Arabidopsis thaliana: one gene and its partners. The protein of the gene in region 4 binds, or shares a complex with, the protein of the main gene of each other region. Each region holds a gene or a part of one and is shown on either strand. Other genes may lie near its edges. The genes, in order: SMU2, SKIP, U2B'' and RS40.

Region 1 (6,520 bases), on a different chromosome or scaffold from region 4:
GATTCAATCCTTGGTTTTCGTTCAACACATATCTCGCAGTCGAAAGAGCGTCTTCGTCGTTGTATTGGTCAAACAGAGGACTGTCCCTTTTCTATGGAGATTGGTGTGAAACAGAGGATTCTTACATCGTCATCTTCGTCGTTGTATTGGCCAAGATCTATGTAGTTTGTGAAACCGGATTTGAATGGAGTTTGAGAAGAGTGTATTGGCCAAGATCCTCGACGGAGATGGCGTCACGTTTGGTTGAACCACGAGCGGAGAGAGGTGTGGAGAAGATGAAACGGTCGGAGTCATTGACGGTGGCTGCATTCATGGAATCTGTGGCCATTTTTCTGATTAGGGTTTTATGATTTTTCTAGTTTTTTGCTTGTCTTGTTGGGTTGGTTACTGAAGCGTCTCATTTTTGGTGATGCTAAACCTAAAACCTAAGGCTGTCCCAACTCCCAAAACTGCTTCGTGTTTAATGGGTAATTAGGAAATAAGAATGCTATCATTTCAAAATTTGGACGTAAAATCTTTTCTAAATTAAGAATTTGAACTCAAGGTACCAAAAACCTAAACAGACTTGAAGATACAAAATAGATTACGAGAGAATGACTGGAGTAGACAAGAGACAAATCAATGCTTGGATCTCTTAGGAGTTTGTGCCTCGGCGGCATCCAAAGAAGCAACATCCCCACCCTCCTTCTCCATCTTCTTTCTCGTAAGTATCTTATTGATCTGGTGAAGTTCATTATTGAGCTTCTGGTCACGGTCACGGTTCTGCTTCCTTGTCTTTCGACCATCTTGCATCTTTACCCCGAATTGGAACGCCGCTTTTGGCATCGCTTCCTTCTGCTCATTATATTTTTCCCATTCCTCTTCTGTCTCAAAGTCCCATCGATGTAAACCACCCTTTGCCTGTTCCATGTACATTCAACAACCAGATACTGTAATTTTGCTCTTCCACAATAAATAACAAGGAACATGTAATTAAGTCAGGGCATACCTTTCCACCCATGTCCATTTTAGACAAATCAGGTTCTTCATCACTACCGACAATCTCATGGTTGTACTCTTGGTAACCTGGATAACACTCTGAATAACTCTCGGATACAAAAGTTGGATCTTTCTCCCTTGCGTCACTCTCCCTCAACTGTTGAAGCCTTTGGTCATCACGCTTGAAAACCGATCCCAAACCCCTATCTTTCTCTTCCTGCGACATGAGTTGAGGATCTAGTAAAACATCGGTTTCTGGTTGGACCTCGTAACCCTCCATTCCAGGTTGAAGGTACTGCTCCTGATACCCAGTTTGCTCTGCATATTGGTATTCCTGCCACTCTCCGGGGTACCCAGGAGCCAGTCCTTGAGTTTGCATTGCACCATATGCACTCTGGAAAAACACACAACCACCAGAAAAAACCTAAATATGGGAATAAATGACATCTAATAACTACATACCAAGACGCAAAATTTGCAGACGAGGATCAAGATTTGAGAATAAATACAACCAAGGATTAGCTAGGGTGAACTGACCATATCTTGCCATTCCTGACCAGCAGATGGCTGCACTGGACCATAAGCAGGCTCAGCGAAATAAGGTACCTTCTCCTGCACTGGACCATAAGCAGGCTCATCGAAATAAGATACTTTCTCCTTATCCCTGGGAGATTCTTCCATGTCCTCAGAAATAGGACTCTGTGTCACATCTTTACCAGGAACCGTGTAATCGACGCCTTCACCAACAAATATGTCATCATCGTCTGTCCTGGCAACAGGGGGTTCTTCTTGTTTCGTACTCAAATCCAGATGGTTTATCCCAGGTGGTAATGGCGGAGGAGGAGGTAAAACTTCCCTGTCACTTATGTTCACAGAAGATCCATTCTCAATCTTAGATTTATTGTCGTCTTCATCATAATCATTAGCAATAGTTGACATCTTTCCTGCATTTGAAAAGTTGCAGTGGATGTGATTAATAAGGCAAAATAATATAAAAAATGCATGAACGTATGATAGAATAGAAATTAGCAAATTATCTTGCTAAAGAATCAGAAACCAGCCAACTTGTATCCAATTGTATGCTGATGTGAAACAAGAACTACAACATGTACTGGCACCACATTAGCATAATAAAAATTACTAACAACAGAGTTTACAGAACCATCAAGGGACGGCAGCAACATATTTATGATACAACTAAATTTCTTCACAATTGATAAGCGAGAACACAACCAGACATCAGTAGATACTACTAGTACTGTGGTCAAAGACTAGGTACACTCTTTACATTCTTGGCTCCAAACTGTAAGACCAGATAATTAACAAATTTCGGGAAAAGCAGAGAACTTATTTAACCAGTGTAAGTGAATCAGGTCTGCTAATACTTAAACTTTACAAAAAAATGCACCAGTAGATGCAAAATACCTTTCCCATCTTTTTCTTTCTTTTTCTTCTTGAGAACTTTCCCCGACGACCCAAGGCGAAGATATGACATGATTTTAGCAATTCGATCTAGCACAGAACCATCAACATTGACTGTGACAAATTCCTGTTGGGGAGATAGGACAGAGAAACAGTGCCTGTTAAATGAAACAATTCTCGCAAAAATTGCAGCAGTGATTTCAATTATAAATTTTTATTATGTTCAGTAAACAAACATATTAAGCAACGTTAATTTTGGTTCCAGATTAGTAGAAAGAAAGTTGAATTTAGTTTAAAAAGATTTTTATAATTACTTAAAGAAAATCTATGCTTCTACCAAAACTAATGACTTATATAATCGATATTAGCTGTATTGAATACATCAACACTGTAAAAGAAAATAGGTTGCAGAGACAGGCAGAGTGGGCTTATTTTCATTAGAATCAAAACGATCATGTCACATCACTGCTTACAGTCTAAAGATTTTTCCAGGATCAAGAAGACTATTACAACAAGGACTCTAAGTATACATACCTCGGGCACCGGGCAGTCAGCTTTACTCCTATATAACGTGGTCGGTATGTCATGGGTATAGCCACCTTCCTGAAAAGCAACAAATAGAATTAAAAACAAAAGGGAATAAAATTAATATACATCAACAGGGAGGCTTTCAAAGGGCAGACTAAACCCATACTATAAGCTTAGCCTAGCAGCTTAGCTGAGACTAAGTATCTCAAAGGAAACTTCATACGTAACACTACCAAATATCAATAGTATATTCAACTGACTTTTCTTGTCGTATGGTGTCTCTATCTGCAAGAGAAAAAGAATATGCTTCTTCAAGAAGAGCAGACACGTTAATCGAACTAAAAAACCTTTACAACCAATTCTGCGTATAAGGTTTCTAACAAATAGATTAAATCGTGAATAAATCGCTAACAAGGTAATGCAAAACAGCTTAAGCTACCTTCTTAAAATTTTCCTGAGACATGTATTTAAACTAGAAGCGAAGATTTAACTAAATATTAACTAATACTCGAAGAAGAATCGTTGAAGCAGAATACACATGTATGACTACTTCCTAAGACAAACAACGACATAAGAACATGTAATAAGATTGAATCTTCCTGAAAAAGAGTTAACAAGCAATACCATATCATAGACAAATGTCATTCTACCGGGAAGAAACATCTCATTAGACTTGATGATAGTCTGAGGCTTAACAATCCACTGGTAAACTGACTGAAACAGATCAAAGACAAGAGAAACAAAAAACATCAAGCGCGTTAACTACATCCCAAAACTTGCTCCTCATCTGCAAAGTTCAGAACAAAATTGCATACCTTTGCAGCTATGGTACGGAAAGTAACTCGCTGATCTTCCTTAGGCGCACTGTTAATATAGTAAAATTAGCACTTGAATCAAAGAAGCCAAATGAGTCAATAAACCAAGTATAACCAAATCTACCTAGTCTTCCCACCATCACCATCTTCACCATCAGGTTTCTTAACGATTTCGCTTCGTACTTTATTCAACAAAGCATAATCCAAACCCTTAACTAAATGGGTATGTTCAACATCACCTAAACCATATCATAAAAACAACATAAGCACCTCAAAAAAAAAACATTTTGAATAAATTTGTAAACCTAACACAAACCTCCAAGATATTTGCTGTTCTCAATAGATATCTTAAGTGCATCAGCAGCACTACAACAAAAAAAAGTACACAGCAACAGAAATTTAGAGAAACCCAATTAGAATTTAGAAAGATAATGAAGTAATCGAGGAAAGACAAGTGCTACCGGATATCGACAGCTCCGGGAGGAGCAACGGCATGGAAAGAACTAAGCTCTGATGGATCATAATCAGGATTTTGATTCTCTCTTCTTTCTTTAGCACGATCTCTGTATTTTGGATTATCGGATTCCTCTAGTTTCTCCTCTCTGTGAAGGAAAAGTGACGAGTTTTGATGTTTTTGTGTAAAAACCCTAGCTTTTGAAGAAAAGGGGAGAGAGGAAAATGAAGATTTCTGACCTCCGACGAGCGGTTTTCTCCTTGTGATGCGATTTTGAAGGTTTCATTAGATTTCGTTAATTCGATTTCTTGTCGTGAAACAGAGAAAAATCAGATTTTGGCTGAAGTTCTTCGTTCTGATGATATCTGTGTCTGTTTCGATTTCAAAGCGTTGGTGGTTCTGGTCAGGGGAAATTAGAATTCGATGTTTAATTTAGAAACCGGATCTAATTTAAACCGATAAAATCGTTTAGCGACCGGGTTTGATTATCGAAACCTGGTTCACAAATTTTTACCATCCACCAAGGACATTAAAAACCCAATTCATTCATAATAATATTACCTTAGATCAAAGATCAAACACTACACATACAATACAAGCAACATTCCCAAAACGATGGTCTTATCTAACATTATCTACAACAAAAGTAGGCCAACATGGTCCTCATAGATGTTATGTAGACTCAAAACTATTTCTCATCGAAAAAGAAATGTAATGTAGACTGCGTCTCCTTAGATTTCTTGATGTTAGATTTCCCCATTCCATGCATCTTTCCTTGTTTCCCACTGCTTTTAACATTTTGCAACCTCTCATAGTGTTTCTGTGGCTTTTCTTGAGCTGAGAATACCTCATAGTCTCGCTTTGTCCCACTCTTTTCGCTAAACACTAAGCCACCTTCCTTCGTCGTCGGGCTAGTTAAAACTGTCTTCTGGTTTTCATTTCCTGGAATATCTTCGACAGCCTCATGCAGCTGATTCAATCTCTCATCTGCAGTAAAGAAATGATGGCTTTGAGTCTCGGGTTCTTCTTTTGAGATTCTTTGGAGATCAAGGATGTAGGACTCAGCCGGTATACTGGCACTGCTCTCACCTGTTTCTTTAGTAAGACCAGTCTTTAGGGATTTGCCTTCTTCCTTTGTACCCTCCTGAACATCATTCTTTACAGGTTCAGGAAGTGACGCAACTGCTGAGTTATCTTCAACAAATGGTTCTGCTTTCACAATCTCTTGAAACTCCAGATTTTTGGCTACATTCGACATATCTTTCTCCCCGTCTAGTTCTTCAATTTTCTTAATGCTGTCAGAAAACGTGTCCTTTTCAGCCGTAGGTTCCTTTTTCAAATCAACTATGATATTTGCATCTGTTGATTTGGTTTCTTTGTCTCCTTCATCTGTTTTGGGCTGCTTTGTTGAGAAAAACTTCGAGATCAAGCTATTTTGTGAAGTCTTTAGCGGTATCTGCAGGTGGCATAATCCTTATTTGAAATGACAATAAGCATACAGACTGTACAAATACATAGTGATCCTGACAATATGTTTAATGCGACTTGAGATCAAACTTGAGATTTGAGTTGTACACTACTAAGAAAGGGAAAGATGTTAACCGTACCTGTTGAATACACTCTGGTCCATCAAACGTTGGTTTACCAATTGCAGAGGTTACTGGATACCATACCTGAAAGTTCAAACTTCAATCTCAAGTAAATGAAAAAGGAAAGACCACTCTTATATGCGAGGAAGTAAGCAATTGCATACCAAATCCGATTTTTCATATGGTGAAAGTAATGGCTGCAGTTTCGTTGTCGAGGGATCATCTAACCATGTGTCGATTGAATCCTTATCACCAAGAATTACAGGCATTCTGTCTTACATGAAAAATAAACAAACTCACGTGTTAACACAAAAATTCAGGGCTGCTGCAAATCAACAAAACAATCATCAACAGCCGCTAATAATGTAAGCATTGTATAAGAAACGCTACTCTCAATATTAAACTACCTTAAACAGCCACTGCTTGTTCTATTCCAGTACTTAAAGAAGTTAAAGATTCTCATGCAATTACATATGTATCTTTTCTAAAAGAGCTTATCAAATCAGATGTAATACGAAAACAGAAACAACTCATACTACTATGATAAGTTTGTATCTTTATTAATGTGCGGGTTTGATTAAACCTCATTTTAAACAACGAGGAACACAAGCTTCAAGCGTCCATAGACAAATATACAATTCCCAACTTCATATGCTATGTGTTTCATTGTGCTACTGAGAATCATTACTGAATAAGAAAAAATGTCACACGATGTAGCCAGTGTATATATTACT
Region 2 (4,623 bases), on a different chromosome or scaffold from region 4:
TCATATGCAAATCCAACGATGTGAAATTTAAAACCTTTTTTTTATTCATTTTTAATCTTTGTAAAACGAACTTATATTATGTTTGAACAAATATTTTTTCATACGCAATCCTTAGATGGGGAAATTAATACCTTTGTAACAAAAAAAAAAAAAAAATGTTAAATCAACTAAGTATTGGGTGAGTCTTCTCAACGAAAACATCAATCAACACCGGCCTCATAAGTTGATTAAATTAACACATTTATTATAATCATCGTACATTGATTTGAATCAAAATTAATTGTTACGTTAATTAGTAATGCATCTAACTATCCCGTAGGAAAAGGCCATTATATTGGGATCCGCGGTCAACGGAGGTTCCACCCACGAGCACGGTCTTTATTTGTTTTTTCCTTTCTCAAATATATATACGGATGTATGATTTTTTGCTTTTGGGGTTAAACAAATATGAATTACTGTGCTTAGATCAGAAATAGACACTTTTATACAAATGATTATATGATTACTGTTCATAGCATAAGCTCCTATGAAAACAAATAATAATCGCAACAGCCGTTTAACCTAATCGAATGCTGAAAAGCCCTCAAAATAGTTCATCTAATCCATGAATCGATTTAACAGAAAAAGTTGAAAATTGTATGCATATGATATACTCAAGTATATTCCGAGTTTTGAGTTGTGTAATGCAAGGAGTCAAGGACCATAGTTTGTCGTTGAACACAACCACGCCAAGTTGTCCACCAAAACTGGAAACTAACTACCATGCCGTTGTTTCCATAGAAGCAAAACCATTAACCTTCCCATTATCCCGCATGGCCACATATATGTTTAATAATATTTCTCACCATACATTTAAGTCTCTCTCGTAGTCGTTATTTACATAGCCTACGTAGTTCATTCATATCATTTTTGTTTCTTTACCTTATATCAAACAAATTGGTTGTTGATTAGAAAAACATAAATTGGTTCATTAAATATCAAACTAACGCCATCAATCTATTGTTTTTTTATAAAAAAATGAAAGAGAAGAAAGTTTGTTGATATGAAACTTACACTTGCTTTGAGTTTTGATAGACAAACCAAAGCCTAACTAGTATTTCCTCTATTGGTACTTGAATTCTGAACTTTTTCACCTTCCCTTTCGAGGTGGTTTAACAGTATACCAGTTGAGATGTACCAACACCAAATTCTTATACTTTTTTTTCTTTTAACCTTGAATTCAGTATTTTAAACGAAACTATGGGAATGTGTTTGAGACGGATTTTCATTAAGGACAATGCAAATAATTATGAGATGCTCAGAATTGTTGTATATATCAAAAAGCCAACACCTATAGTTATATATATAACTTTCTTCGATTTAAAAACAATAAGTCGCTTTGGCCGAGTGGTTAAGGCGTGTGCCTGCTAAGTACATGGGCTCTGCCCGCGAGAGTTCGAATCTCTCAGGCGACGTTATCCTTTTCGTTTTTTCGTCTATTTTTAAACCGACTTACATAGACACTGCGTATAAGACAATTGATTCCTTTTTTTTGTTGTTAATCCTATCAACCCTAGAAAAGGCTTCACGCCCGATTTCTTTTTTCCCCAGAAAAAGGCTTCACTTCCGTTCGTTGTTCTTCATCGGTCTGCGCCGCCTCGCACATCGTTTCACCTTTCTCAGAATCTCTCTTCCCGTCGATTAGTTTCCTCAGAGGTTAGCTTCTTCGATTTCTCAGATTCAATTCTGCTTTTTGCTTTCCTCCTGTTGTTTTTAGGTTTTTGTCGATCTCTATGTTCAGCGATTCCTAAACCCTACTTGTTTTCCGCTCTATTGTAGTGAATCCAACCCAGATTTTTCAGATTTTAATCGGAATTATTCGGGATCTAATGCTCGCGTCGAGTTTATCGCTAGAAAACCCTAATTTCGGAGGATCTGTCACTTTTATTATCAGAAGCTTGTTGTTGTAATTACGGATTAGGTATGTCCTGATCGTTATTGTTCTTTGTTTGCAGGTTGCGATTTGTTGAAAACCTTGATTTAGACTATGAAGTCTCTTAATGATCTTCCTGCGCCCAAATCAACCACTACCACGTATTATGATCATTCTAATGATGCTTGGTTCAAAAACCGAGTCACTGAATCCGAGACGGTGAAATCCTCCAGTATCAAATTTAAAGTGGTGCCTGCTTACCTGAATCGTCAAGGTTTACGTCCGAAGAATCCAGAGGATTTTGGCGATGGTGGTGCTTTCCCGGAGATTCATCTTCCTCAGTATCCTCTTCTTATGGGTAAGAATAAATCCAATAAGCCTGGAGCTAAGACTCTCCCTGTTACTGTCGATGCTCAGGGAAACGTGGTCTTTGACGCTATAGTGAGGCAGAATGAGAACTCGAGGAAGATTGTTTATTCTCAGCATAAGGATATTATTCCAAAGTTTCTGAAAAACGAGGGAGACTTGGGTACTGTTGTTGATGAAGAGGAGGAATTGCAGAAGGAGATTCAGGAGACTGCTGAAGAAACGAAAGCTGCCATTGAGAAGATTGTGAATGTGAGACTGAGTGCAGCGCAGCCTAGTAATATAGCAAGGCAATCGGGAGATTCACAGTACATTAAATATAAGCCATCCCAGCAATCTTCTGCCTTCAATTCTGGTGCTAAAGAGAGGATCATTAGGATGGTGGAGATGCCTGTAGATCCACTTGATCCACCAAAGTTCAAGCACAAGAGAGTCCCAAGGGCTTCTGGTTCTCCGCCTGTTCCGGTCATGCATTCACCGCCCAGGCCTGTTACCGTCAAGGACCAGCAAGACTGGAAAATCCCTCCTTGTATCTCCAATTGGAAGAATCCGAAAGGTTACACAATCCCTCTTGACAAACGTCTAGCTGCTGATGGAAGGGGCCTACAAGACGTTCAGATCAATGATAACTTTGCCAAGTTATCAGAGGCCCTCTATGTAGCTGAGCAGAAAGCTAGAGAGGCTGTTTCAATGCGTTCCAAGGTGCAAAAAGAGATGGTGATGAAGGACAAGGAAAGGAAAGAGCAGGAATTGAGGGCTCTTGCCCAAAAAGCTCGCTCCGAAAGAACCGGTGCTGCTATGAGTATGCCTGTCTCATCTGACAGGGGTAGGAGTGAAAGTGTTGACCCAAGAGGTGATTATGACAACTATGACCAGGATAGAGGAAGGGAAAGAGAAAGGGAAGAGCCTCAAGAGACGAGGGAGGAGAGGGAAAAAAGGATTCAGAGAGAAAAGATACGAGAAGAGCGTCGCAGGGAAAGAGAGAGGGAGAGAAGGTTGGATGCCAAAGATGCTGCCATGGGGAAGAAGAGCAAGATCACCAGAGACAGAGACCGTGACATCAGTGAGAAAGTTGCTCTTGGAATGGCATCTACTGGAGGAAAAGGTGGTGGTGAAGTTATGTATGATCAACGTCTGTTTAACCAAGACAAAGGAATGGACTCTGGTTTCGCTGCTGATGACCAATACAACTTATACGACAAAGGCTTGTTCACTGCACAACCAACTCTTTCGACTTTGTACAAGCCAAAGAAGGATAACGATGAAGAAATGTATGGAAACGCTGATGAGCAGCTCGATAAGATCAAGAATACTGAGAGGTTTAAGCCTGACAAAGCTTTCACAGGGGCTTCAGAGAGGGTGGGTAGTAAGAGAGACCGACCTGTTGAGTTTGAGAAGGAAGAGGAACAAGATCCTTTCGGTCTTGAGAAGTGGGTTTCTGATTTAAAGAAGGGTAAGAAACCTTTGGACAAGATCGGGTCTGGTGGAACTATGAGAGCAAGTGGCGGTGGTGGTAGCTCTTCAAGGGACGATGACCACGGCGGTTCTGGTCGAACCAAGATCAATTTCGAACGCAGTGACCGGCGTTAAAAGTCAAGACAAAGAAAAAGCTCAGTAACTGATCTTTGATTTCAATATATAACTTGTTATTTTGGATCTGTTAAAACAGTTTGCTTTGGATTATCAGTATTTATGTTGTTGTGAGTCTCTTAAACTACTCGAATACAATCTTTCAGCTTCATAATATCAGATCTTTTGAGCTTATTTTAGTTTCTTTTTCACTGTTACAACTTTGTGTACTTAAGAATCTTAGTTTTGAATCAGGACAACAACAAAAAAGACACATGTTCTTCTCTGGTCTTATCTCCAAGCTTCATGTTCATGGTACTAAGAGAACAAATCACTTCACGATCTTTCACCGTTTGAATCATTTCGTCACTACATCATCTTCCTCGGTTACGCCTCTTTCGCCTCAAGATCGAAACAAACTCTTAGCTACTCTGTTATCAAACTGCACTAGCCTAGCTCGTGTTCGTCGGATCCATGGTGACATCTTCCGTTCACGAATCCTCGATCAATATCCGATCGCTTTCTTATGGAACAACATCATGCGATCTTACATTCGCCATGAGTCTCCTCTCGATGCAATTCAAGTATATCTCGGTATGGTGAGATCGACTGTTTTACCCGATCGATATTCTCTTCCGATTGTAATCAAAGCAGCCGTTCAAATTCATGATTTTACGTTGGGAAAGGAGCTTCATTCCGTCGCCGTTAGGTTAGGGTTCGTCGGAGATGAGTTCTGCGAGAGTGGGTTCATTACATTGTATTGTAAAGCAGGGGAA
Region 3 (4,704 bases), on a different chromosome or scaffold from region 4:
TTTATTACGTGTGAGGAGCTGAGAAGCAGAGGAGAATCAAGGTAATCGGAGAAAGTGAAGTTATGAGAAGATTGTGAAATCGGAAGAGGTGGTGGTTGAGCCGTCTTGAACTTAGGTAAACCAGACCCGGTTCTCTCTGGATAGTACCCACCAAAACTCGACCCAGAAACTCTCAAGTCTTCATCATCTTCGTAACAGTCAACGCCGGAAGAACCAAGAAGGTCGGTGAAAGAAGTGGAAGACATGATGGTCTTTAATAAAGGAGACAACTTTAAGATTTCTAAAACAGAGGATTCGCTAAAAAAGGAAACTTTTTTATGAAATTGATCTTGAAATGAAAAAGAGGATAAAACTAAAAAAGAACAGAGGCTTTTAGATTGGGTTAAAGACGACGACGGTGGCGTATTGAGCAAGGTTTTTTTTGTTTCTCTCTCTTCTTGTCTTTTTCTACTTTGGCCTAAATATCATTTTTGATTTTAATATTTCTATAAAATGGTTGACCAGTAAGATATTCTTTTTTGATGAGTCGTCTCCTAATTTGTGATAAATCGTCAAGTGTGAAACCGCGTTTCAAGGGTCTCTTTCAATGATTAAACCAAAACCGGATTAATCCGTTAACCAATAGAACCGTTGGTTGGTTATACACACCAGGTTTGGTTGGTCCAGTACTATCGTCTTAAAGGACAACAAACAAACAAAAACAAGACTCTTATCATTTCTTGGCGAAAGAGATGACCATTGGATTCTGGGGAGTGATTTTGAAACCTTGAAGAGGTTGCATAGCTATGGAAGCTTGAACATCATCTTCGTACTCTACAAACGCGATTCCTGGTTTTGCGTCGATCATTCTTATCTCTTTGAATCCAGGGTACTGTTCGAAGAGAAGCTGTAGCATCATGCTTGTTGTCTCGTGTGGGAGATTCTGAATGAAGAGTATGTTGTTTGGTGGCATTGTTTCTTGCCCGCTCGGCTGGAACGAAGGCTGCATTAAGAAGAGCAGAGATAAAACGCAAAACATCAGCATCATCTCCAGATAACAATAGTTTGGTTCACATGATCCAACAATGGAAGATTTTTCTGAAGATGAAGGTGAGAACAAGAACACTTACCGCAGGGACTCCGTTATTGGCACTTGGACCATTAGCACTTGGGCCATTAGCCGTGTTTGGTCGTTGGGAATCTTCACGCTTTCTTTCAACTGAAAGTAAGAAAGGAAGTTTGTTAACTTTAGATGCAAGTGAAAATTTTATAGTTGTATCATTGAACCAACATCTACGACAAAATGCAAAAAGAAGAAATAAAGTTTAAAACCTTTTTCTTCTTGCTTCCTCTTCTTATCTTTTGGAACGAAAGTTCCCTCAGCTTTAGCTAGACAATCTGACTTTGCTTTTGCATATTGTAAGCGCTGCACTTAAAAGATCACATAAAAAGTATGAATAATAATAAATCTCAACCTGATTGGAAGTAGTTGAATAGTTTACAAACAATCGAAAGAGGTAAGATTTAGTTATAAAAACAATGTATATATCAAACAGAACAAACATTTTGACAACAGAAATCATAAGAGAATGTGATTTGAGAAGGTCAGCAACAAAATCCAAACACACATATAACTAAATGTTGATTGAGAATAACACAGTCAAAGGTAATCATTGGTAATCACATAAACACACTAAGGATTTCTGCTTTTACCGCATCAATCAATCTATACAACACACAGAATATCACTTCCAGGGAAATTATACAGAGATTGATATACTCAAGACAGAAAAGGTAGTGGATACTAATCATTGGTTACTCATCAACAGCAACAAAATCTAAACACATATATGACTACCAATGGATTGGGAATAGAAAAAGGTCAAAGGTTCCAAAACAAATTGTTAGTAATCAATTACACAAACACACTAACGATTTGCTTCTATCGATCTATACAACACATAGAAGATCACTTTCATGGAAACTATAAAGAGATTGATATACTCAAGAGTGATGAAATACTGACCATTGGTTTATCATAGAAGGGAAAATTTTGCATCTGACGAACAGCATGACCAGCAGCAGTGACTTCACTAAAAGTAACCCAAGCTTGTCCTCGGAGCTTCGGAGTCTTCAAAGCAACCACATCAAGTATCCTCCCAAACTGAGAGAACAAACAGTAAAGAGATCTCTTCAATTCTGAGAAAACAAAAACCAAGTCAGATAAAGCATGAGATTGATGATACTGCCCTGAGCCAACACTACTTCACACGTCTATAACAATTATCCATACAATGGCGAAAACAGACAACACCAACATATATATCTTCCTTATAACCTTGTCACTAGATTCAATACGATTCTGAAACCCTAGTATTTAGAAACGAACACTCTATATAAGCTAAAAACAAGCAAAAACCCTAACATTCAGTACTGTAGAAGCTTGAATCATTGGTACAGGAAGTTCATGGAGGTTTCAACATCTAAGAATTTGGAAATTTACTTGACGAATTAGATTAAACGAGAAGAGAAGTTTACCCTCTTTCTTGATCCTTTCGTTGAGGTTTTGGATGTAGATTGATTGATTCGGTGGTATATCTGCCGTTAACATCTTCGAGTGAGCTCGTGAAGACGATGAAGATTCTCGAGACTGAGGAATTTAGAGAGAGCCCTAATGGTGGGAACTGGGAATGAGAGAGACGAAGAAGAGTAAAAGAAATAGCTGCGTTTCAACATCAGACTATTTAACGACGCCGTTTAGTTTGTTGGTTCGATTTCCTAAACTTTTGTACCAACGTGAATGAGCCGACCGGATGGACCGGATTTGAATTTGACCGGCTAGACAGAATTGAACCGGAAATAGAATGAGTGGTCGGGATTGGACTTTTATAGACTCGAGATCAATTTTTTTATTGCAAAATTCCAACAAAAGTCTTGTGAATCATTTTGATTCAAATGTTCAACAACTTTTTAAAATAATGTAAATGATGTTGTATTTTTCCAGCTGAGCTTGCAAATTTGTTCTGAAAAAAGATTTAACCTTAGACCTTAGTATATCTCAATATTCATGTGATAGATAATACAATTCACGTGTGAGCCGATTGAATCAAAAGGCATTAAAAATGCAATGTACTAAAATGCCTTTTTGTTTCTGTGTTACATTTTTCTTTACACTGAGAAAATAAATCGAGGATGTTTCACTTTCATCCTTGAAGAAATATGGCAACCATTGCGACTACTAGTGAATGATCGATGGATCCAGGAAATATCGTTAACCGGAACTTGCTTCTCCCTACGTAAATCTGTCTCAGCTTGTACATCAAACTCGTCTGCCACCACATTTAAAGGAACATAAATCAGATTGAGGCAAATGTTCAAACACAACAACAACAACAAAAATCTTTAAAACAAGTGTATTAGAATCCAAGCAAATTTTACAAGCCTAATGAATCCGACTTCAAATGAACGAAACAAAGGGTTGGTTGTTTATCCATCAGCAAGCATGATCCAAACGATGAGTTTTGAACCCGGTAATCAAAACCAGTATAACACGGTATTGACTCTTGTCTAGCTATAGAATGTTCAATAGTGCTGTAATTGGGAGAAGATGAGTATCTTTACCTGTGCAACAATGGAATCTTGACTATAAATGGTACAAGATTTCTGAAAGGGAACACCTTTGATAACAAGATTTTCGGACGATTCTCCAGCAAAAGAGACCTCTGACTCTGTCTTACTGAATCTTTTCGATGTCCGCTTCACCGTTAGAACCAAATCCTTACGCTTTTCCACATCTCCTTTATGTAATTCCCACACTCCATTCTACATTCCAATACATATACAAAGATCTGTAAGTGTTCTTATGATATATCTCAAGCCAGTGACTAACTAACAAAACCCAAACAATCAAAAAGTATAAACATCGTGTGGACTATGTAATGAATAATGAGATTTAAACAAGTAGCGATGAGAATTGCCAAAATCGATGAAATTTGGGACGAAGGAGGCTTACGTGGAGACGAGAGATGGAGAAGAGAGGAACTCCGGAGGAATCAAGGAGAGATTTCAAGGAGGAAGAAGATTTGCGGAGGATGAAGACGAGATGTTCGGAAGAATCGGCAAATCCGAGATCGCCGGAGGAAAGTCCGGGAAGCTTTTTGGAAGCGAAGAGATCGACTGGTATACGCCGGAGATCCTCAGGGTCGGGGTGATACGGAGTCTCGGAATCAGCCATTTACATAGTCTCTAATAACAGTCAGAAGCGTAAGGTAGAAGAAGAACAAGAGAAGCAGCTTATATTCAACGCCAATGTTTTTTTTTGTTCTAATGATGTCGGATCAGATTTTTTTTTTTGCGGCGAAACATTCTTCTTACACCAAAAAATAATTCAGATGAATAAAATTAAGCAAGTAAATAATTGGATGTAGAAGCCAAAGATAATAAAATAGTAATGATAATTTTCTTTTACGTTCTTGAGATACCAATTCTTGTTTTTTTTTTCACACAAAACTGAAATGCAAAAAAAAAAACTAAAAAGTAATAACACATTTTTTTGATGTTTGATCTTGATTAATAAATTAATAGAAAATGGTAAATGTGTTACTTACATTAGGTTGGAAAAACGTATGGTTTAACATATGTGTTTGTTGGAAAAGATACATTTTTAGTGAACATACCTTTGACATGAATTGATTTATAAAGGTTTTTTTTTTTGCATTTCCATCC
Region 4 (5,092 bases):
TGTCCTTTGACCCTTGTAAAGAGACTTTTGACTCTTCACTCGTTAACCTTTATGAGTTCTTTAAATTCTATCGAGTGTGTGCCTGTGTGGTTGGCTGGCTGCTGTTGTTACAATCGTTTTTAAATTCCTATGAATAAACAAATTGTCATTAATTGTCACCCGTCTATAACATAATAGACATAAATATCTCTGTGAAATGATATTTTAAATACTCATGTAGTATTTGTATTGGAAGTAGATGTCCTAATATTTAACCAAAAATAATACTACAATATAGAAAAGCTTGATTTTTTAAAAAAATTAATCAGATTTGGTAATGGATAATTATCAATTTCGATGGACGGTTAAAAATGAGTCATAAATGCATATGATGAACAAAATTATTCAGTTTAAACAAACTATAACCAAAAACATGTAAATGGACCAGGACAGGACTAAGCGAAGGATTAGACCAATACAAAATAGCAAGTTATCTTGAATCCCAATAATTCCCACAAAATATCTCAATCTCAATAATAGCTATATTGTATTGACAAAAAAAAGGTATAAAAAATCTTCACAATAAGATATGCATGAAATATATTCGCTGACAAAAATATCTCTCTCGTTACCTCTCGCTCTCACGTTATTGACATTTAGGAGAAAAGAAGACACAACAAAGAGGGAAAAAAAGAGTGGTAAGGTGAAGAAAACAACAAAATTGGCTTTAGTGGAAAATAGAAAGTAAAGCTTGAGAGTGACGTATGGGGCCAGTGAAGGCTGGTGGGGAAGGTAGGGACAGTGTTTCCGCGGCCGAACCACGGGTTTAGAGGATTTTGACGTCCCCACGCATTATCTTGTGGAACCCATCTTTCTGTTTTTGGAAAATCGTACGGACGTTCGTTTTTGAATTATTTGCTGAATCGGGTTGTTTGGGTTTCTACTCTGTTTTGGGATTCTTCAGTGGATTGGACTGGATCTTTTGTAGCTTTTTGTTGGTAGATTTGAGACGCCTCTATTTTATGAATATCTTAATAGCTTTTTGTTGCATATTCAAGCGAGATAAGAAGATAATTGAGGCTTTATGGCATATTTGAAAAGTCGAAACTCGTTCTCATTCCACGTGTGATGATATGTTCGTGGCCACATATCATTCGGCCTTGAAAGCAACTACTAAACTCTTAACATAAGTGAAGCAATCCAATGAAGAGGAAAACAATTTATTTAATTAATTGTAATATATAAATATACACATTTCTTTATAACAACAATTATTAAACTTACTAACAAACTCATATGTTTCATCGAATCCAAAACTTGACATGTGGGATCTTGAGAGTGTTAAGTTGCAAGACTTTTTAAAAACTTGTATGCATTATTCATTGTGTAGATGTTATGTGATACATGTTCTAGTTCTATTAATCAGTATATTCTAATCAAAATTAAAAAATCTAATATTTGTTTGTCTTCATAATCTGTTATTGTTTTGTTTTTTTAGAAAGCAGCTTCAATTTTGTTTACTTGTTGGGCTTCTTATAATTTGTTTAACATATAGGCCCAATACTCCTAAAAAGTAGACGTTCTCGACTTCTCGTCCTTCAGACAAAATAAGAAAGTCAAAATGTGTTCTGAAAAAAATATCTTTGAAACTAAAAAGAAAAGAAAATAAAATAAAAATCCAAATGATCTCTCTTGCCTTCTTTATCTAAATCGTACCTAACTCTGTTTTCAGTTTCACCTATCTCTCGACGCGAGCTTCTTCTTCTTCTAGGGCTTCCACGCGACTACGCCTGCCAAAATCATTCTACAGGTAAATTGATGCAGTTTATTCACTCTCTATATCGTCGTGGTTCTCATCTCCTTCTTCCTTCTTTTTTTTTTGGTTGGTGAAAAGTAGAACAAGAGAATTGGTCCATCTCGTTTTTTATAAGTTGAATCTCATCAGAGCCTTCTTTGTTTTTCTGGTATGAAAGATTCATGCTTTCGTGGATTGTTCTCGTTTTCTCTATCTTGTGAATGATATTCAGATCTAACTGTAGTTAGATTAGATCTGTTGCATTGTACTTTTGATTCTAATACTGTCTAGTTCAGTTCCTAGATTTAACTGATTTGGAGCTCGAATAGATGAGTTTCAAGTCCTAATTTACTGCAAAACAATTCGATTTAGTGTGAGGGCTCTAGTTTTTAGTGTTAAAAGTTTTCATCTTGGTGACAAATTAGTTGTGATATTCGTGTTTAAATTATCATTTAAGGAAGTCTCATGAATCTTTTTTACTATTGTGGTTGTCTATACAGGAAGCATGAAGCCAGTCTTCTGTGGGAACTTTGAGTATGATGCGCGCGAAGGTGACCTGGAACGACTATTCAGGAAATACGGCAAGGTTGAGAGGGTTGATATGAAAGCTGGTGAGCCTTTTTTTTCTTTCTTTCTTTCTTCTGCCTCTTACTACTCTGTCTTTGTGGTTAACCTGAATGAATTATAATAAGCAGTATTGTTATCCACTAAGTACAATGAAAAAGCGAAATTCAAATGCATTTCATGAAATCCACTCTCGTCTTCATTCCATCCACGAGAAGGCTCTGGTGGACTATCTCCCTTTGGAAGGAGTACTAAACATTGACCACATTCACCTGGCCACCTGATGCAGCCTGCTTGAACTTTGGAAAGTACTTCAGAGGAATAAGATTTTTAGAAAAAAAATTAGTGTAAAACCGCATTTTCTTTGACGCAGGATGTGTTTGATAATCTTGGGACGCCTATACTCACACCTGGCCATGAATGGACCATAGGGAAATCCATCTCTTATCCCTCAAAATCAGTCACTTTCCATCCGCATTAGCACTGCCATCTTAATTGCATTTCATTCCTCATCACTTTGCACACTTGGACATGCCTCTGCAATGGAGAAGGCTCTCTATTTTCATTCATATCCCCGTCTGACTTCCACATTTTCAGTTGTTCCTTGACATATTAATTCCATAATGCAAGGTCTGTAACTGCTTCACTGGTCATTTGGAGTTTTTTTAAGGTTCTAGGAATGTTCAAAATTTAATATGTTCTAGGAGTTAAGTTAGGCGTTGAAGGAGGGAGGACAGTGTTCGTGTATGTTGAAGGTTCTTAATCTGGTCCACTTCCTCACTGTTAATGTACTCAGATCTTTGCTTTTGGCTTTTTCTTTTTTCTCCAGGGTTTGCTTTTGTATACATGGAAGATGAAAGGGATGCGGAAGATGCCATCCGAGCACTTGACCGCTTTGAATTTGGGCGTAAGGGACGCAGACTTCGTGTTGAATGGACAAAGGTAGGATACTTACCCCAGGATTTATTTCTTTCCAGACTTAGTTATGAGGTTTGAAATACTGATAACATAAATGGTTCTGTGTATATAGAGTGAACGTGGAGGTGATAAAAGATCTGGTGGTGGTTCAAGGAGATCCTCATCCAGCATGAGACCTTCCAAGACTCTCTTTGTGATTAACTTTGATGCGGATAATACTAGGACCCGGGATCTAGAGAAACACTTTGAGCCGTATGGAAAGATCGTAAACGTTAGGATCAGGAGGAATTTTGCATTTATCCAGTACGAGGCACAAGAGGATGCCACCAGAGCATTGGATGCTTCAAATAACAGGTTTGTTCTGTCCATTTTAGTATCTAATCACTTTCCTTTCTTAGACTCACGTTTCATCTGTGTTTTCATTCAGTAAGCTGATGGATAAGGTGATCTCGGTGGAGTATGCTGTGAAGGATGATGATGCTAGAGGAAATGGACACAGTCCTGAAAGACGCCGTGATAGGTCACCTGAAAGGAGAAGGCGATCACCTAGTCCTTACAAAAGAGAAAGAGGAAGCCCTGATTATGGCCGAGGAGCTAGTCCTGTTGCTGCCTACAGAAAGGAAAGGACCAGTCCTGACTATGGTCGAAGACGTAGCCCAAGTCCTTACAAGAAATCAAGACGTGGCAGTCCCGAGTATGGTCGTGACCGCAGAGGCAATGATAGCCCTCGCAGGAGGGAGAGAGTCGCAAGCCCTACTAAGTACAGCCGCAGTCCCAACAACAAGAGAGAGAGGATGAGCCCTAATCACAGCCCGTTCAAGAAGGAGAGTCCGAGAAATGGGGTTGGTGAAGTTGAAAGTCCCATTGAAAGGAGAGAGAGATCGAGGTCTAGCCCCGAGAATGGCCAAGTTGAAAGCCCTGGGTCAATAGGAAGAAGAGACAGTGATGGTGGGTATGATGGTGCAGAGAGCCCAATGCAGAAGAGGTTAGATTCTGAAATAGGTCGATACTTGTTTATATATTATTGATGACATGAATCGTAAACCATTTCTCTTGTTGTTGCAGCCGGTCTCCTCGTTCGCCACCAGCTGACGAGTGATAAGAGTGGATCCACAATCTCTATCAAAGTAGGATGTTGTAACTGTTTGTAGTCAACAACGCTATGTCGTCGTGATTAGTTTTTGTCGTTTGGTTTTTGATAGATTCGAACTCGGATCACTTTTATTGTCGGATTGAAAAACTTATGTCAAGTTACTACATTTCCGTTTTTTTTTATCACCTCTCAGTTTGAACCCCAATCATGTAATGCTTTCCCGTGACAATAAGATGCGAACCTCAAAACATCTTGCATCGAAACACCTTGAGAGTGACAAAATCGAACGCATCGTTAAGTAACTTAAATGGTACGCCGAAATTATGGAAGGCAAGAACGGTTCTATTGACTTAATTGGGTCTAAAAACTACTCTAAACGCCTCTTGTCAACGTTCGAACTAGTCCCTAACCTTTGACTCAAATATAAATATTGGCTACAAATAGACTTATAGTTCTGCCTACATTGGTCGTCTGCTTTAGTATATTTGTTACCAAGTAAAATGCTGCTGTAGAGTTTAATGATCTCTTTGTCTACTGGGTTTCTCCAATTTTCTGATCGTTGGGATTCGTGCAAGTCGAGAGAGTCTACTTGGTTGAAACTTTCTGGGTTTTGATTTGAGTTGCCCATTGGATTTGAAGTTTTAGTCTTTTGTTGGTAAGTTTTACCCTTTGAGATATGCTCGTCTGATAGTATAGGGCTTTCGAGTGTTATGAAAAATTCGCCTTTTCGTCTTCTGATTTGG

The links.
Region 1: RS40 (region 4) and SMU2 share a complex: the UniProt entries of both Arabidopsis thaliana proteins name them as parts of the spliceosome.
Region 2: RS40 (region 4) and SKIP share a complex: the UniProt entries of both Arabidopsis thaliana proteins name them as parts of the spliceosome.
Region 3: RS40 (region 4) and U2B'' share a complex: the UniProt entries of both Arabidopsis thaliana proteins name them as parts of the spliceosome.

What each region holds. Positions count from the first base shown.
Region 1 is NC_003071.7:11,254,431-11,260,950, forward strand, and holds SMU2 (RED family protein), read right to left. Parts: upstream 4,641-6,520; 5' UTR 4,484-4,640; coding exon 4,437-4,483; intron 4,346-4,436; coding exon 4,205-4,345; intron 4,110-4,204; coding exon 4,060-4,109; intron 3,983-4,059; coding exon 3,868-3,982; intron 3,793-3,867; coding exon 3,744-3,792; intron 3,643-3,743; coding exon 3,553-3,642; intron 3,004-3,552; coding exon 2,935-3,003; intron 2,528-2,934; coding exon 2,404-2,527; intron 1,923-2,403; coding exon 1,516-1,922; intron 1,373-1,515; coding exon 989-1,372; intron 901-988; coding exon 619-900; 3' UTR 502-618; downstream 1-501. Other genes in the region: AT2G26470 (embryonic stem cell-specific 5-hydroxymethylcytosine-binding protein), read right to left, coding at 4,886-5,653, 5,805-5,870, 5,951-6,060. UniProt on the Arabidopsis thaliana protein: Auxiliary spliceosomal protein involved in splicing of specific pre-mRNAs that affect multiple aspects of development.
Region 2 is NC_003070.9:28,999,036-29,003,658, reverse strand, and holds SKIP (chromatin protein family), read left to right. Parts: upstream 1-1,523; 5' UTR 1,524-1,695; intron 1,696-1,818; exon of another isoform or gene 1,819-1,994; 5' UTR 1,995-2,026; coding exon 2,027-3,868; 3' UTR 3,869-4,082; downstream 4,083-4,623. Other genes in the region: AT1G77170 (Tetratricopeptide repeat (TPR)-like superfamily protein), read left to right, coding at 4,123-4,623. UniProt on the Arabidopsis thaliana protein: Splicing factor involved in post-transcriptional regulation of circadian clock and flowering time genes. Associates with the pre-mRNA of PRR7, PRR9, ELF3 and GI, and is necessary for the regulation of their alternative splicing and mRNA maturation.
Region 3 is NC_003071.7:12,904,845-12,909,548, forward strand, and holds U2B'' (U2 small nuclear ribonucleoprotein B), read right to left. Parts: upstream 2,822-4,704; 5' UTR 2,591-2,821; coding exon 2,518-2,590; intron 2,179-2,517; coding exon 2,006-2,178; intron 1,406-2,005; coding exon 1,312-1,405; intron 1,199-1,311; coding exon 1,110-1,198; coding exon of another isoform or gene 1,050-1,109; exon of another isoform or gene 983-1,049; coding exon 713-982; 3' UTR 501-712; downstream 1-500. Other genes in the region: WRKY25 (WRKY DNA-binding protein 25), read right to left, coding at 9-245; AT2G30270 (LURP-one-like protein (DUF567)), read right to left, coding at 3,183-3,308, 3,601-3,801, 3,992-4,213. UniProt on the Arabidopsis thaliana protein: Involved in nuclear pre-mRNA splicing.
Region 4 is NC_003075.7:13,022,889-13,027,980, forward strand, and holds RS40 (arginine/serine-rich splicing factor 35), read left to right. Parts: upstream 1-1,609; 5' UTR 1,610-1,789; intron 1,790-1,876; exon of another isoform or gene 1,877-1,943; intron 1,944-2,066; exon of another isoform or gene 2,067-2,274; 5' UTR 2,275-2,279; coding exon 2,280-2,385; exon of another isoform or gene 2,386-2,961; coding exon of another isoform or gene 2,962-2,968; exon of another isoform or gene 2,969-3,124; coding exon of another isoform or gene 3,125-3,167; coding exon 3,168-3,280; intron 3,281-3,368; coding exon 3,369-3,610; intron 3,611-3,683; coding exon 3,684-4,241; intron 4,242-4,321; coding exon 4,322-4,355; 3' UTR 4,356-4,552; downstream 4,553-5,092. Other genes in the region: AT4G25510 (uncharacterized protein), read right to left, coding at 4,555-4,615, 4,760-5,092. UniProt on the Arabidopsis thaliana protein: Required for constitutive and alternative pre-mRNA splicing. Involved in primary miRNA processing and pri-miRNA biogenesis. Binds both intronless and intron-containing pri-miRNAs.